2 linked regions of the Oryzias latipes genome follow. The protein of the gene in region 2 binds, or shares a complex with, the protein of the main gene of each other region. Links are inferred from orthologs where the notes say so. Each region holds a gene or a part of one and is shown on either strand. Other genes may lie near its edges.

Region 1 (4,432 bases), on a different chromosome or scaffold from region 2:
GACGGATGGATGGATGGATGGACGGACGGACGGACGGACGTCCCCGCGCAGCAATAACGGATCACGCGGCAGCAGCTTTTCTAGTACTGTAGATGATGGACCTGGACAGGTTCCACTCTGATGTCTGCACTATTCCTCATGCTTTACTCAGGCCAGACTTTGCCTTTAATAATTGACCTCTGCTACGGATTTGAATGTATATTTAATGATAAAGATCAATATTTTGCTTTGGATAAAAGAACTTGAAACACTTTAACGGAGTCTCACGTGCTGTCTACTGTTACTTGAATAGGACAAAAAGTACTAAATGAAGTTACTGAGGAAATACAAAGTAAATATATTTAAAGTTTTTTCATAATTATTCCTCCACTTTAAGAGTTCTGTGCATTTGACCAAATCCTCTTTATAATCTGAAATAAAGAGTTTAAACACTATTGTCACTTTGAAACCTCAAAGAGTAAATGTAAGCTGAATAAACACGCAATACCACTGTCACAAATACTCAACATGTTTTCTTAATTAGTGGTAAACTTAAATTTGAGATGTTCTTATATGTAAGATCCACCCCACCCCAAAGAAAACATCATGATGCGACTGTTTAACATTTTATTTGCTTCAGCCAAACAATAAGAAAGTTTAAATAGTTCATTTCAGGAGAGCAGCACCAGCTTCTCGTGCAGGGCAATCTGTGCCTGGGTGAGGTTGGACAGGTACGTCACCATCAACAGGTCCTGCAGCAAACCACAAGCACGTCCATGTAGAAAATACACACAACTGAATTTCACAGAAACAATTCCAGTTCCACAGTCGTACAGATGCTAGTATCTTTTAATCTTCACAATGTCAAGAAGTACAAAAGGGTAAAAAAAAACCTCATGCAAATTGTAATTACAGTATCAGGGGAAGCACTTACATTGATGTTAGAATTGAGCATGTTCTCAAAGTCCTCAGGTGGGATGGTCGGCACCTTGTTCACCAGGTCTGTGAGGAACCGGCCAACGCTGTTATCTGCTGCCACTTTCCCAGACTGGAACAGATCCAACAGGTTTTCACCAGAGATCACCCACTTCACTTTGTCATATGTGCCAACACAGGATGTCTTCTTGTTTTATTTTTTTTGTGACAGCCTTAATACTCACCAACACATCGTCAATGTATGCCAGCACCGTAGTCAGCATGTCCTGTACCCTGGCTGCAGCTCCACCCACCTGGGACAGGTCAGAGGTCAGACCCTTGGAGCGACTCGGAGCATCCCGTGTCCTTTGAAGAAGGTCCACTAAAAACAAACAAATATTCAAGTCCAGCTATAGAAATGTACATTTGCTTTTGAACAAATCTTACAAACGCAAACATACATTTCTGAAGTGCATTTGAAACGGGGACAAACATTTTTTAACCCAATAACTCAAAAGTAAGACTTTTTACCACCAGAGTATCTTCTGCTTACCGCCTATTCTCTCAGTGTCATAATAGATATATTTGACGGTGAGTGGGGTAAACATGACGCCGACGGTCTTTCCTGGCACACCCATCTGTGCGCTGTGTAAGACATACACAAACACATTTAGATTCCTCTCAACCTCAACACGACGACACAAGTTGGCAGCACAGATCCGCTTACCTGAGATAGGCCCGGATGTTCATTTTGCCACTCTGCAATGCCGTGTCCACAGTCAGGTGAATGGGGTTGGAGGCTTCACGGCTGTAATACTCATGGATGAGCACAGAATGTTCAGTGATGTCAAAGCCTGTGGCATACCTGGTGGAAAAAGGTCACCTTTTAAATGTATCTGAAAACTTTAGCTGTTGAGTATAGGTATCCGGATACAAACGGCTAACGCACCATCCGATGATGACCTCTGTGGGCGACACCCTCTTGTGAAGCTCATACATGTTTTTTGCAAATTCCATGTCAACAGCGACCTGTTGTCAATAGGACAGACAGAAGATCACTCCTTCAAAAAAGGAGGAACGTGCACATTGTATTTGAGGTGTGTTGAGAAAACAAATAGGATTGTGGCAGTAACTTTTTCACCGTTTCAAACTAGAAACGTATTCTTCTTAAAGTCGCCTCATGAAGCATAACGTTGATGACACAGCATCAGGTGAATGCAAAAGGATCAGCCGAACACATTTGTATTGCTGGTAGTCAGGAGGATAGACACATTTGTATAGTTTTCAGTTTGTTAGTTCAGGTGTTGAAGACAGACAAACTAGTTTACTGATCATTTCTGAGCAGCAGAATTATTGTACGCCATCACAGCAAAACAAGCTGCAAGTGTTAAAAAGGGCAACAAATACAAACAAATCCTGTTAAATGTTACATAAATTTATGAAGTACAGAAGTATCGATCATTCAAATAAACACAGAAGTCATCTTAAATGCAATATGATTCATCATGCTATAGGTACAAGCTTTCTCCAAGATTTTAAGAGAAAATAAAGTTTGAGACATTTTTAACCTTAAGTTGAAGTGCAAAACAATTAAATTTCGCTAATGTTTAACACTCACCTCATCTTCTGACTCATTGTGGGGGACAGAGAAGCAGTTCGTCACCTCAATTGAGTGTTTGTCAACTGTACCTGAAAGCGACAAAAAAGTTAAACCGTTATTGATATAGATGCTTTGTATTATGTATATAATTCATGACAATTCACTCGCTAAAATTCTTTTTTGTTTGTTTTGTTTACACAAATCGTAATGTTGAAAACATGTCGGCTAGCTAGCAGCTGGACTTCACCATTGGTTTAAACTAAGCCAGCGTGCGTTAGCTAGCAAGCTAAAGCTAGCCGTATGCTAGCCACCGCTAGCGCTCTGAAAACATCCATCCTCCTGCGACAAGACGTAAACATGAATTTAATGCTTACCCAAAAGGGTTCCGATCACACGGCTGGCTCCCTCATTCCTTCGCTCATACGAGTCGCAGATAGATGCGAGAACGACGGGATGGATTTTCACCACTGGCCCGTACACCGACATCTTGAAAAAAGAGGACCGTTTACCGGCTCGAGCGAACACATATACTGCCACCTAGAGGCTGGAGGCCGAATGGGCAGCAACCAATGAACAGATTTAAAAATAAACTCACACATATTTTATTAATATGACTAAATATAGATACACAGGGGGCGATTGTGCTGTTGACAGTGCTGCTAATAATGTTTTTTAATAGAAGTGTTTTAATAATAAAAAACAACAAAATCGGTTTTTAAACCAACACTAATGTTATTTTATATCAAGAATGTAGTGCGTTTGATTTTATGTTTTATGTCCACTGTTAATCAGGTGTATGCGGTTACATTGTAAGTGAATTAAGTCCACATTTCCTCTGTGAACTCCGCAAACAGGCTCCGGGGGGGGGTGTCTCTCCCTGTTGTGCGTCTGAGGCAGTGAGGTGGACGGGGGCTGCACTGATGACAGCCTCCTGCGTCGCTCACAGCCTCACTCACACCTGACCGACTCCATCGGACGCGCAGATGATGGAGCTGCTGCCGGGTTGCCCCTCTGCCACCATTTCGCACATCCACTGCACGACAAATGTTCTCCCGCTGCCTTCAACTCTTTACTCTCGATAATTGTCTGGATGGGTCGTGATTTTGGGTTTTTCCTGCGCGGTTTACTGAGTGCTTTTTCTTCTTCTTTTGTTTTCCTGGAGGAGCGAACAGGAGTGTACTGATGCGGCGTCGCTGCTAAACACCAGAAATGGGTGTCATCGAAACAAAGGTGCCAGAACCGGCTCGTTTTTGGACCCCGTTTCTCCTGATCTGCCCATAAAAGAAGATCTTATCTACAAGTTGCTGCACCAAACAGGTAGGATTTAGCTCGTTCTCTGCGGCGTACTGACTCACGGGCATCCTTTACTGAGGCTATTTCTGATGCATCCATCTGAGGTGGTGCGTCATCTTCATAGCCGCTATATAATTACATCAGTCTCCTGCGTCCATCCACCAGCTGTGGTTGGACGCAGGACGCACGACCCGCGCTCCATTTTACTGTGCAAATATTCCCCTCACACCTTCTTAACCCAGACTGCTCTCCGACACTTATGTAAGACATCCCAATAGGACTATAATGCAAGTCCTCAAAATTTAAAATAGCAGTAAAGTGCACTTACACAACGCGCACACACACTGAAGGACCACGCATGCACCCAGCCCGAGGCGTTTTATAAAGGCTGCTTCATTAAATGTGCATGGTCAGATGTGCACAGAGATCATGATGTCTTTAAGGGAACAAGATCACAGATTTATTTGTCTGTAGAGTTTAGTTTCATGAGACAAATGCCTTTAAGAGGTTTAAAGAAAACAGTAAATGTTCACCTGTATTTATGACAATCTTTAAAGAGGATCATTCGATTTACTTCAGACAATAAATGGCCCCAACAGGTCGATGGTATGATTTAATTTGATCATTGTGCCCCTCTTTGTTCCA
Region 2 (4,517 bases):
TGTTCTTTGGTTAACTTACCTGCAACATGCCTTCTTTTGAAATGACAGTTGAATAAGGTGCCATTTTGCATGGCTATTGTGTTATATTAATAGGTCTGATTTTGTTTTTTCTGTTTCTCACAGGGAGGTCAATGGGCTTGGTGGTTGGCATCAATCCTTCATGTCTCATATTTGGACTACTGATGCAGCTAACTGTCTCATTCTGCCATGATACATAACCTCACTCTTCTAAGCTGCTTCAGGACTGTGATACAAAGCACAATAAAAAATATAAGCAAATAAGCAAGATACAGTTTTTGTGAAGAGGAAATAAGCAACATATCTGGAGTTCTTCATGTCATGTTTCCTGACATTTTAGTGAACGTTGTTGCAAATTCCCTTTTTTTTTCAAATTAGCTAAAAGTACAGCTTTGCTTTTGATATAAAAACACAATTATAACATTTTGCAGCGTTTTCATTTAAACCCCATATAAAACCTACAATAAATAAAAGTTAACATTTATTTTTCTAAAAACATGTATATTGACAAGGAAAAAATGTAAATTTTTTGCAAATGAAAAAATGTATTGACATTTTTTATTTGTCTGTATGTTACTGCAAACTGTCAGGTTATTTTGTGTATATAGTCAATAGTTAAGACTGGAAGTATTAGTGCTTATCAATGACAGTCTATTGTTGCTGTGAGTTTATTATTGTTGTGCTTGCTTAATTTTCTTTAACTTTTAGCTGAAATGTTCAGTTAAACCACTTGGGCTCTGAATGACTGTTACTTTATTAAAAGGAACCAACAATTAAACTTTTATTTCACAATGTATATTTTTACATTTTCTGTCTTTTGTTCTTAGATCTTCTCTCACTGATAACCTCAAATGTTTTGCATACATTTCAGGACTTTCGGAGGTCTAAAAAACAAATCCTGGCAGTCATAAGGCAAGAATCAGGGGACCGCAAACCCAACAGTAATCTATTCATCAGTCTTTTTCAAATATTATAAGTTCCGAATCATATCTAACAGGACAAATGTTCAATATTTATTCAAACCAGGGATACTCTTAGAAAAAACAAATTCATTTATTACTCTGTAATTGTTTAAAATTTTCTTTGAAATAAATCTCTGTTATCTTAGAATTTTTCTTTTGTGTTTAGTAACCTTGAAACATTATGGGCGTCCTGATTCTGTAGATCCAAGAAAAAACATATTTTTGATAGACATTATTTACAAGAACTTGTGAAGAAAAAAGTGGTATAAAAAGTTGGTCCACCTGAAAAGAAAATAGAAAAAAAAAAGATTAATAATTACAAATATTTATACGTTTTTCATTAATTGTTTTTATATTGTTATTTCTGCCATAGTGTTTACGTTTTTGAACATTTATAAGGGGGTTGGCAGTCGTTCCTTATAATTGTGAAAATAATCTAGAAATCATTTTTGTAAGTTTTTCTTTGTTTGTTTTAAATCATCGTGAATAAATTCCTCGCCTGAAATAGCTCTTTTGGCTCGGGGACGTCACATAAACTCGCGGTGACGTCAGGAGCAGCTACTGAGCATGCCCAGCGGCAGCAGCCTTCACGTTTCTCCGAGCCTGTCAAACACAGCCAACATGGCGGACTGGGGTAAGAAACTAAGTTGGGAATGGAATATATTTATACACCGTAGTCTTGTTGTAAACTTCTTTTAAAAGTTGAAAACTATATCACCATAAGATTATAGCGAGTTGTCTTCGCATATTGAATGTTTTTTCTTATTGTAGACGCCGAGACCTTCGAGCCAGAGGAGCCGCTTAAAAAGGCGGCAGTTGTTGTTGCAGTTATGGACAAATGGGAAGGCGAAGACGAAGAGGAAGATGTTAAGGTATGCCTTCATCATGTCATAGTCTTAACGTGTATATTTAAATTCAGGTATATCTGTATTGTTTTTTTAGCGGGTCGTTCACGAGAGTCACGCCGACGTTAGGCTTAAAGCAGATCGCTCTTGATGCCACGCTTCCTCCGTGTCCGTCAAGCCCAACCTTAGAACTGTGTTAGCTGTATGTTAGCTAGCGGATGGCTAACTCGCGTGCTTCCACAGACTGTCCAATGTTGAGCTAACACCAGCCCTCCGTCCGGGTTTCACTAAGTGACAACTGAACGTTGTTTTAGCAAACTATTAACAATAGAAATAATATCTGCTTTGGTTTATAGTTTAGACTTTGAAATATACTTTTCATTTTAGAGGATTTATTGGCATAGATATTTGCTAACAGTTAGCCTGTTTTGGACGCTCAGCTGGGCACGACGATGCTTATTTTAAAAAAGAAATGTCAGAAAAGTCCAACTTTTTTTCTTCTTTTTACCAAAAGTGGTAAAGTGAAAATAGGTGAATAATGGCAGTAACTGTGGGCTCCGGTCTGCTGACGTTAGCTAATAGCTCGCTTACCAACTTAGCCTCAGTCAGAGGAAATCATTCTCTCTGCTGATGATTCAACTCGGCCAAAAGGAGGCCTAGAATTTTCCGACTTTACGATGGCTGAGCAGGAGTTTTGAGCTGTTGCGGCTCAGCTGACACTGCAGCTCAGGTGGCTTATATGAAAATATCGTGTTTCTTCCCAAATAGTTCAGCCGTGGAAAGTCTTAGTGTAGGCCTTCCTGGGATAAATGTATATTTATTTATTTGGTCACATATGCCATGGTGTCAAAGCTTGGGAAAAAATTTACTTTTTTTTTGCTAGTAGTTTGCTATGTAAGCAAGTGTACTGTTTCATAAGTGATAATTGGACATGGATGGTCATTTCTGAATAAAACTGCTCTTTTAGTGAAAATATCTCATAAGTTTAAACTAACGTAACTAATTTATTAATTCATTTATTAAAATAAAGTACACTACCCACTACTAAAGGAACAGTAACCTTGTTTTTGGGGAAACATTAATAGTCAATAAGTACTAGGTGCTGTTGCAATTATTTTATTTAGGTTAATGAGTTTTATTTATTTTTGCTTAATGAATTGTTCTGTCATCTCATTTGAGATCACATGTTGTAAAAGCTTGAGTTAGGCTTCACAAAGTGGGTGAAGACATTTCTGTGGATTTGAGGGATAGGATTTGGCAACATGTTGCAAAAGACAAAGTGGTTAATGTTGCAATAAATGCAATAAAATAAAGCTCAGGAATTTCTGGTATAAACCAAATTAAGATAAACTAATTTAAAAAAGAAGTAAAAATACATTTTTAAATCAACCTTTTTTTTCTGGAAATAACCTAAATATGTTTTCTTTCTTTCTTTTTTTTAGGATAACTGGGATGATGATGAGGAGGAAGATGATGAGAAGAAAAAGGAGGAGGCGAAGAAACCAGGTACTATAATCATTAGGAAAAACTTGCATTTTTATGGGTATGAATGTTGAAATGTTTCAAACTTGTGTTTACAGAGACGAAAGTTTCTGATAAGAAAAGGTTAAGTGAAAAGATCAAAGAGAAGGAAAACCGGTTAAAGAAGAAACAGCAGGAGTTGCAAGAGCAAGTATGTGTTGCTATGGCCTTTTTTTATTTAAACGGTAAAACAATATTCCTATAATGTTATTGTTTTTTTGCTTTCTTTAGGAACAAGAGGAACTAACTCCTGAAGAACAACTTGCAGAAAAGTTAAGAGTGAAAAAACTACAGGAAGAGGCTGACTTGGAGTTAGCAAAAGATGCTTTTGGTAAGAAAGAGTTGGCCTCTTCATTTCTCTCTTTCCAGGAAGTTAAAAAGAAAGGATTTTGCTCTACACTATTTTTACAATTAAAAACATTTGTTGCACCAATGAAAAACTTTTTTTTAATGTAACTTTTTGTTCTTAGAAGACATCTAAAAACGTTTTTTTTTTTTTTCTTTCTCTCACCTCAGGTGTTGGCAGTGTCACCGGCATTGATGCCATGTGTCCATCCTCCAAAGAAGAATTCACAGAATTTGAAAAAGTGCTGAAAGAAAAGATATCCCAGTTTGAAAAGTCTGTGCATTATTCAAGTTTTTTGGAATCGTTGTTTCGGGAACTTTGTATTTCATGTAAGGAAGACCTCAGTTTCATTTATCCTCAACATCACTTCTTAAATGCCATTTTCTTTATAAATCCAAGCCGGCCTAATATGTGCATCTTTTTTCTTTTTCATGCAGTGGAAGTAGAGGACTTAAAGAAAGTCAGTAATTCCCTTTCGGTTCTACTTAGTGAAAAACAGAAACAAGAAAAAGTAAGTTCTTGATCATCTAAAAGTGACTACTTGTACAAAAGGGGGCGCTGTTGACACATGGCATTGTTGAGAAGTTTGTCTTCTCAATTTCAGCTTAATTTTTATCTGTTTTTGCTTTCACAGCAAAACAAGGGAAAGAAGAAGAAGAAAGGTGTTATAGCTGGAGGCGGTTTGAAAGCACAGCTGAGAGATGACCTTGACTATGCAGAGTTTGATGGTGGTTACGCCCAAGACTATGAGGACTTCATGTGACGATGGCTCCGTCACTGCTGTCTTCTCTCTCCCATCTTCAGAACTACAGCTGTACCTTCTCA

What was found.
Region 1: eif3j (region 2) and eif3f share a complex: the UniProt entries of both Homo sapiens proteins name them as parts of the eukaryotic translation initiation factor 3 (eIF-3) complex. The link is inferred for Oryzias latipes from reciprocal best matches to the Homo sapiens genes EIF3J and EIF3F.

Annotation. Positions count from the first base shown.
Region 1 is NC_019875.2:2,469,781-2,474,212, reverse strand, and holds eif3f (eukaryotic translation initiation factor 3 subunit F), read right to left. Parts: upstream 3,022-4,432; 5' UTR 2,981-3,021; coding exon 2,869-2,980; intron 2,584-2,868; coding exon 2,513-2,583; intron 1,924-2,512; coding exon 1,844-1,923; intron 1,760-1,843; coding exon 1,622-1,759; intron 1,540-1,621; coding exon 1,448-1,539; intron 1,277-1,447; coding exon 1,140-1,276; intron 1,028-1,139; coding exon 914-1,027; intron 732-913; coding exon 651-731; 3' UTR 590-650; downstream 1-589. Other genes in the region: MICOS complex subunit MIC26, read left to right, coding at 1-2. UniProt on the Homo sapiens protein: Component of the eukaryotic translation initiation factor 3 (eIF-3) complex, which is required for several steps in the initiation of protein synthesis.
Region 2 is NC_019861.2:18,399,351-18,403,867, reverse strand, and holds the start of eif3j (eukaryotic translation initiation factor 3 subunit J), read left to right. Parts: upstream 1-1,499; 5' UTR 1,500-1,547; coding exon 1,548-1,614; intron 1,615-1,751; coding exon 1,752-1,852; intron 1,853-3,267; coding exon 3,268-3,331; intron 3,332-3,405; coding exon 3,406-3,497; intron 3,498-3,577; coding exon 3,578-3,677; intron 3,678-3,862; coding exon 3,863-4,021; intron 4,022-4,129; coding exon 4,130-4,203; intron 4,204-4,326; coding exon 4,327-4,455; 3' UTR 4,456-4,517. Other genes in the region: stereocilin, read left to right, coding at 124-218. UniProt on the Homo sapiens protein: Component of the eukaryotic translation initiation factor 3 (eIF-3) complex, which is required for several steps in the initiation of protein synthesis.